Nothobranchius furzeri: one gene and its partner. The protein of the gene in region 1 purifies or fractionates together with the protein of each later gene. This does not show direct contact. Links are inferred from orthologs where the notes say so. Each region holds a gene or a part of one and is shown in the gene's direction. Other genes may lie near its edges.

Evidence for each region.
Region 2: the proteins of inpp5ka (region 1) and gart purify together in Homo sapiens (co-immunoprecipitation; 3 studies listed by BioGRID and IntAct, counting the BioPlex papers as one, with this or other methods). This does not show direct contact. The link is inferred for Nothobranchius furzeri from reciprocal best matches to the Homo sapiens genes INPP5K and GART.

What each region holds. Positions count from the first base shown.
Region 1 is NC_091753.1:62,185,929-62,190,344, reverse strand, and holds the start of inpp5ka (inositol polyphosphate 5-phosphatase Ka), read left to right. Parts: upstream 1-1,502; 5' UTR 1,503-1,726; coding exon 1,727-1,968; intron 1,969-2,533; coding exon 2,534-2,638; intron 2,639-2,715; coding exon 2,716-2,824; intron 2,825-2,898; coding exon 2,899-3,015; intron 3,016-3,356; coding exon 3,357-3,532; intron 3,533-4,416. UniProt on the Homo sapiens protein: Inositol 5-phosphatase which acts on inositol 1,4,5-trisphosphate, inositol 1,3,4,5-tetrakisphosphate, phosphatidylinositol 4,5-bisphosphate and phosphatidylinositol 3,4,5-trisphosphate.
Region 2 is NC_091754.1:46,922,765-46,925,648, forward strand, and holds part of gart (trifunctional purine biosynthetic protein adenosine-3), read left to right. Parts: intron 1-29; coding exon 30-155; intron 156-226; coding exon 227-314; intron 315-386; coding exon 387-472; intron 473-534; coding exon 535-703; intron 704-773; coding exon 774-1,005; intron 1,006-1,070; coding exon 1,071-1,168; intron 1,169-1,240; coding exon 1,241-1,350; intron 1,351-1,419; coding exon 1,420-1,618; intron 1,619-1,854; coding exon 1,855-2,106; intron 2,107-2,188; coding exon 2,189-2,341; intron 2,342-2,407; coding exon 2,408-2,611; intron 2,612-2,682; coding exon 2,683-2,838; intron 2,839-2,884. UniProt on the Homo sapiens protein: Trifunctional enzyme that catalyzes three distinct reactions as part of the 'de novo' inosine monophosphate biosynthetic pathway.

The sequences.
Region 1 (4,416 bases):
ATATGTGTGTGTTCCTTCTTTTTCCCTTCCGGCTAGGGATGCACCGATGGATCGGCATTTGATCCCAATCGGCCGATAGCGCCCCTATCGGTTTTGAGTGGAGTTTTCAAAATAGATCAAAGCAGACCGATCAGGTAGGGTTGTCACGGTAACCGGTGTAGCGTTAAACCCCGGTAAAAAAAAAAGTTGACAATAATAATAACCGTCTTGTTTTTAAAGAACTATATTATCTTGGTGGGATTACTGTGGCTGCGGTGTAGGCGCGGTGACCCTTACCAGCCACCGTATCATCTGCTGAAGTTGCCGGCGGCACATGCGCGCTTTGTTGTTTACAACCAAAACTTTCTTGAAGCTAAAGCTGAAATAATGGCCAAAGGAGGAGACGGCAGCGCTCAGGACATTTGTTATCCCTCAAAGAAGACAAAGTGGGAAGTACGGGCATCTTTTGGATATGTGAAGAATGCCGAGGGACAGTTGATAGAAGACGGCTATCCTGTTTGCAGCACGTGCAGAAAAAGTGTCTGTGAAAGGCAGCAACGCTTCAAATCTCATGACACATCTGCGTGACCATCACCCACAACTCTACAGTCAACGCAAGGCAAGCTAACGTTAGCGTTTTAGCTAAAATGCGTGATCCGAGGATTTGGGTTGAGGGACAAGGGTTAACCCTAACCCTAACCCTAACCCTAAAATAAAAAGAAATAAGGGTTTATAATGGGTTCTTGTTGAGACCAAGACAGAACCTCAGGTTGTTTGTTTATTGAGCCGTTTGTGAATTATTTGTCAGTTTCTCTTTAAAGGACACAAACCACAGCTGCGCTTCACAAACTGTATCTCATTTTTGTCAGGATCTACAACCCTAGTGAGGATAACACAGTTTAGGTAGTGGATGGATGGACAACACTATTTCTTCTCAGCAACTTGAGAACAGTGGACCAGTCCGTCTCCTTTGCTGTATTCATCAGTAACCGAGTCACCAGCTCAGCAGTTTTTCTTCTTTGGATCACCTGAACGCATCAGAAGCTTTAACTCATCTGTCTGAGCCAAAGTAGTAGCAGATCTGTGTGTATTTAGATTTAGTTTACATATACATGTATTTCTGAACAGTCACCTGTTTGTCTGATCGTAAAACACGCTTTACATCGTCCGCATTTGTCAGAGGTTAGGGTTAGGGTTAAAGGTCCCTTCCTGTAAGCTCCTGAACAACCTGATTATCTGCCTGTGGAGCTGAATGTGCTGCTGGACTGAACACAGTGCTGCGTTTACCAGACTGCTGCATTCTAGCTGGTGGATTATGTTGCTTAACGGTGCAGCTCTGAATGGGATTTGCCCTAGAAGAACAAAGTCTTGCTGTTCAGGCTGAAGAAAGAGCAGTTATGAGCTCAGCAGCTCACCCGGGACAGAGAGTCCTTTACGTTCACACGAGGAAGGTATTTTCTCAACTTTTAACCGGCCTATTGTTGAGATGTTTCACAAGCAGATTAGAAGCTATTTTAGTACACGAGTCCAAGTTTCCCAGTTGCTCTGAAACTCTGCCTCCCGAACCCCAGAGCCTGGACTCTCGTCTCCTCATTCAGCCAGCTGGTTCCACACGGGAAAGGATTACCGCGCCTCAGCTTCTTGTTTTATTTGCGATCTCTAGCGCATTCATAAACTAATGGTCTCTTCAGGGCTGTGGTATTCAAGCAGGCAGCTGAACCCAGTGGAGGTGACACCCTGAGCTGGTATGGATGATGCCAGGTGGCTGTTGGGTTCTGTTGGACGCGTCCGCAGCAACACCCTTTCATCCGATGCCACACAGTCAACAGGAAGTAAACTGGCTCTGTGCCATCAGCTCAGCCAGCTCATGACCTGTGTGGACGATCTGGACCCCAAAACTGAGCTGCATGAGAAAATGGTCAGGACCCTGGACAGCGCCTTCCTGGTCTGCTCGAGACGAGCCAACAAGCCAAAGAAGGACCGACTCAGGTGGAGGATGCTGCAGCTTCTCACTCGCCTTTCTGCTGAATCTAGAATCGGTCTCCTTCTGGACAGTGTCTGTGTCCAGACTGGTCCTATCACACTGTGATCAAACCTCGTAATTGCCTTCTGGAGCCTTCCAGTGGACGTGACTCTTTAGTCTGTTGTTCATTAGTCTAACGGATGTGGGTTTGAGTCTGAGCTGCATGTTACAGCGTTGTCGCCCAGGAGGGATTTTCTTGTTATTGTTTTTTCTGAAGTGGAAGAGGCTTTGGTTCCAAAGCTAACGCAGCAACAAATGTGCTGCACATGGGTTGTAACCATGTGACTATGGCTGTGTAATATACATATGTGCACATATCATGGACGTTTATTATCCTGTCGTATGAAACAGAACAACCCTGCTGCAGTAACTCTTGTAGGTGCTCTTAACAACCAGAGAAATGAGGTGTTTACCTGAAAGCAGGTGGCGGTCAGGAAGGAAGACCAGCAGTATCTAGCTGGTATATTTTCAGTTGATTCATCTGAGCTTTTCCAGCTTAACCCCCCCCCCCCCCCCCCCCCTGTCTCACAGGCTTCACCTAGTGACGTGGAACGTGGCCACAGCTGATCCTCCAGAAGATGTGGCTGCTCTTCTTCACCTGAATTCACCCAAAAGAGCCGACCTCTACGTCATCGGGTACAGACGAGTTGTTTTTTATCTCCAGAAGTGTCTCCTGCATCAGCGACTGGCCTGACGGTCAGATGTGTGTTCAGTCTGCAGGAGGTCTACTCAGGACTGCTGAGGTTTGTGTCTGATATGATGTTCGATGACCCGTGGACTCACCGGTTGATGTCCACCTTAGCTCCGCTGAATTATGTAAAGGTACGGACACACACCATCTCACGATCAGTGTGTGTTTCTGTGTGTGTCGTCTCAGGTGTGCATCTGTGTTTCAGGTATCTTCTATCAGAATGCAGGGTTTGGTGCTGCTCTGCTTCTCTAAACTGGAGCATGTCCCCTTCATCAGAGACATCCAGACCACCTACACACGCACAGGCATCTTTGGCTACTGGGTGAGCAGAACACACACACACGAGAGGGAGAGAGAGAGATCAACCTTCTTTCTGCTCAAGGATTTTACCTTTCAAGGTCAACCTCAGGCGTCGTTTTCGAGCAGATTGCCCTCTGTCATTATTTATTAAATTAAAACCAAACCAATTAGTAAAAGCTGGTCCCTCTGAAGATCCGCGGCTGCTGATCAGACGTGCGGATTATGAGTTCCTCCCTCAGGCACAGAAGCAGGAGGTGTTTTAATCAAAAGCTGTGTGTGAGTTGGTCTGTATGCTAACAGGACGTAGCTTAGCCTAAGAGCTGACGACAGCATTGCAGAGTGTGTCTCTTGTTTGGTTTTCAGGGTAACAAAGGTGGCGTGTCTATCCGCCTGTCCCTTTATGGTCACATGGTCTGCTTCCTCAACTGCCACCTGACGGCTCACATGAACTATGCCACAGAAAGAGTGGATGAGTTTGAGTACATCATGGACTCGCAGACCTTTGACTGTAAGAAGGCGTCGAGAATATCTGATCACAGGTGAGAGCACGCACAAGACTCAGACTGTTCTGTATGGATGTTGGAGTAAAAGCTGGAACGTCCGCCCGTTCTGGTCAGTCGTTTGGAATGCCGTAGCTGTCCTGCTGCTCGATCTGAAGGACTCTGACATTCCCTGGCCAGCTGAGAGGGAAGAGCTGGAAGACTTACCTAACTGGAATAATGAAGTGAACGCTGTTTAGTAGGTTTAATTGGGATGTTTTGCTTCCTAAAGCACCTTGAGCCCCATGAGATGTCTAAGCTGCAGCTGTTCCACACCTGCTTAGACTCTATCAAAGCCTGGATGGTGGGAGCTTTCTTCAGCTGAATGAAGATAAGACTGAGATCCTCATGTGTGCCCCAGACAAGCTGGTTCCCAAAGTCAGAGACTCTCTTGGTCAGCTTGCTTCTCACACCAAACCTTCTGTCAGGAATCTTGGCGTGACCTTTGACCCAGCTCTCACCCTGGATTCTCATGTCAGTTCTCTTGTTGGCTCTTCCTTCTTCCATCTCAGGAACGTTGCTAAGCTGAGTCCCATTCTGTCCCGCTCTGAACTTGAGACAGTTCTCCACACCTTCATCTCCTCACGCTTAGACTACTGTAACTCTCTTTTCACGTGTCTGAGCAGAACCTCCCTGAACCGTCTACAGGTGGTTCAGAACGCCTGTGCTCGGCTTCTGACCAAGTCCTCCAAACACACCCACATCACCCCGCTTCTCCTCCAGCTTCACTGGCTGCCAGTCAACTTCAGGGTTCATTTCAAGATCCTGGTTCTGGTCTATAGGGCCTTACATGGACAAGCACCATCTTACATTGGTGATCTTCTCAGTCCCTACACCCCCAGCAGGTCCCTGAGGTCCAGTGATCAAAGCCTACTGGTTGTGCA
Region 2 (2,884 bases), on another chromosome or scaffold:
TCGTAACCCGGGTGGGTGTTGCTCTGTAGTGTCTGTGTTTCAGCGATGGCGTCTCCGTGGCGCCCATGCCTCCAGCCCAGGATCACAAACGGCTTCGGGACGGAGATCTGGGTCCAAACACCGGCGGGATGGGAGCGTACAGCCCGACTCCTCAGGTAGAAGCAGAACCCGCGAAGAACCCCCAGCTGATCCCCTCAGAACCGTTAAATAGGTTTGATTTGAACAGGTGAGTCTGGAGATGCTGCAGCAGATCCGAGAGTCGGTTCTGCAGAGAACCGTAGATGGGATGAAGGAGGAGGGGGCCCCCTACGTGGGTTAGTGTTTTTATTTATCTACCCGGGTTTTACTGGGACCGGTTCTGACTTACGGTGGTTTGTTTGGTTCAGGTGTGCTGTACGCAGGTCTGATGCTGACCCAGCAGGGCCCGAAGGTTCTGGAGTTCAACTGTCGCTTTGGAGACCCGGAGTGTCAGGTGGGTCTCAGGTGGGAATGGGATTAGAGTCTGGATTAGATTACACCTGGGGCTCTCTGCAGGTGCTGCTGCCGCTGCTGCAGAGCGACCTGCACCAGGTGATACTCGACACCATGAGTGGGAAGCTGTCCTCCAGCGCCCCCGTGTGGCTCCAGGACAGCTTTGCAGTCACGGTGGTTCTGGCCAGCGCTGGGTACCCGGGTTCCTACCAGAGAGGGGTGGAGATCCGAGGTAAGGTCTCCGCTGCTTTTGCTGCAGCTGATGTCAGGGCTGCAGGTGCGTCTGACCTGTTGTCCTCCAGGTTTGTCCCTGGTCCAGGACATGGGACTGCAGGTGTTCCACGCCGGCACCGCCCTGAAGGGCGGAGTCGTGGTGTCCAGTGGAGGTCGAGTTCTGACGGTCACAGCTGTAAGACCGTCTCTGGAGACCGCCCTGCAGGCAGCCAATCAGGGCGCAGCCGCCGTGGACTTCCCTGGGGCCGTGTACCGTAGAGACATCGGCCACCGGGCCTTGGCCCACCTGAACCAGAACCGGTGAGGGATCACGGTGAGCTTTGCTCATCGTGAAACGCTAGAAGCTAAAGTTTGTTTGTGTCCAGCTGCGGCCTGACCTATAAGGACAGCGGAGTGGACATCGCTGCGGGGAACAAGCTGGTGGACATCATCAGACCTCTGGCCAAGGCCACGTCACGCCCCGGTAACCATGGTAACCTGGGTTTTACCGGCTCTGGGGTCCGGCCGTGCCGCTAAAGTCTGAACTTTGTCTCAGGATGTAACGCTGAACTCGGAGGATTCGCCGGGCTCTTTGACCTGAAGGCAGCGGGGTTCGTCGACCCGGTTCTGGTCTCGGGGACGGACGGCGTCGGGACCAAACTCAAGGTTGGACTCCTGCTGTGGTTCTGTCTCCAGGTCTGGAGCTTACGTGACCTTTGTTTGACCTCCCACCAGGTGGCGCAGGCGTGTGGCCAGCACGGTGGTCTGGGTCAGGACCTGGTGGCCATGTGTGTCAACGATGTGCTGGCTCAGGGGGCGGAGCCTCTCTTCTTCCTGGACTACTTTTCCTGCGGGAGGCTGGATGTGGGCGTGGCCTCTGTGGTCGTCGGTGGCATCGCTAAGGCGTGTGAGGCGGCCGGCTGCGCTCTGCTGGGTCAGTTGGGTTATTACAGATGACCAATATGTTTCATTTTCCATTTTTGGTTCTTTTTTAAACACAAATAAGGTTTTTCTTTACCTTGCTGACGTTTCGTTGGCGGCCGCCAACGAAACGTCAGCAAGGTAAAGAAAAACCTTATTTGTGTTTAAAAAAGAACCAAAAATGGAATTTGAAGATAAACACAGAAAGAACGTACAAAAGATGCTGATGCCGTGTTTGTCCTCTGACAGGCGGCGAGACGGCGGAGATGCCGGGCGTCTACGCCCCGGGCGAGTACGACCTGGCGGGGTTCTGTGTGGGGGCGGTGGAGCGAGGGGGGTTGCTGCCTAGGCTGGAGGACATCTCTGAGGGGGACCTGCTGATCGGGCTGGCGTCCTCGGGGGTCCACAGTAACGGGTTCAGTCTGGTCCGTAAGGTCCTGGAGCAGGCCGGGCTGAGCTACAGCGCCCCCGCTCCGTTTGGGAGGCAGGGCCAGAGCGTCGGTGAGGGTTAGGATCAGCATTCCTGATATTCCTGCTCAGCTTTAGGGATAATCGTCCTCTTCTCCTTCTGCTGCGGTTTCAGGCGAGGTCCTGCTGACTCCCACCAACATCTACAGCCGGCCGCTGCTGCCGGTCCTGCGCAGCGGCGCCGTCAAGGCGTACGCTCACATCACAGGGGGGGGTCTCCTGGAGAACATCCCCCGGGTTCTGCCCCGGGAGCTGGCTGTGGAGTTAGGTGAGAGGAGAGGATGATTATGGGATGTTTAACGTGTGCTAATGCTAACGTGTCTCCATGACATAGACGCATCCCGCTGGACCATCCCTCCGGTCTTCTCCTGGCTCCACACCGAAGGCCGTGTGAGTGAGGAGGAGATGAGCAGAACCTTTAACTGTGGCGTGGGGGCGGTGCTTGTGGTGGCCCCCGTTGATGCTCAGAGGGTCCTGCGCCAGCTCCAGGTCCACCTGGACGCTTGGATCGTCGGTTCTGTGGTCCACAAACAACCCGGTTAGAGAATGGAGAACCTCTGGGCTCCGACATCGACCACCTCGGTTTCTCATGGTGCGTTTGTGACACAGGAGCACCGGCCGTGATGGTCCGTAACCTGACCCAGAGCCTGCTGAATGTGGGAGGAGCTTCTGGCGAGGAGCCAGAGGTCTCCACCAGCGGTTGCCATGGAAATGGCATCACACAACACAAGCGCATGAGAGTGGGGGTGCTCATCTCAGGAACAGGTGTGATGTTGAGAAGATAATCTGTGAGGTTGTACTTTATGGGTAA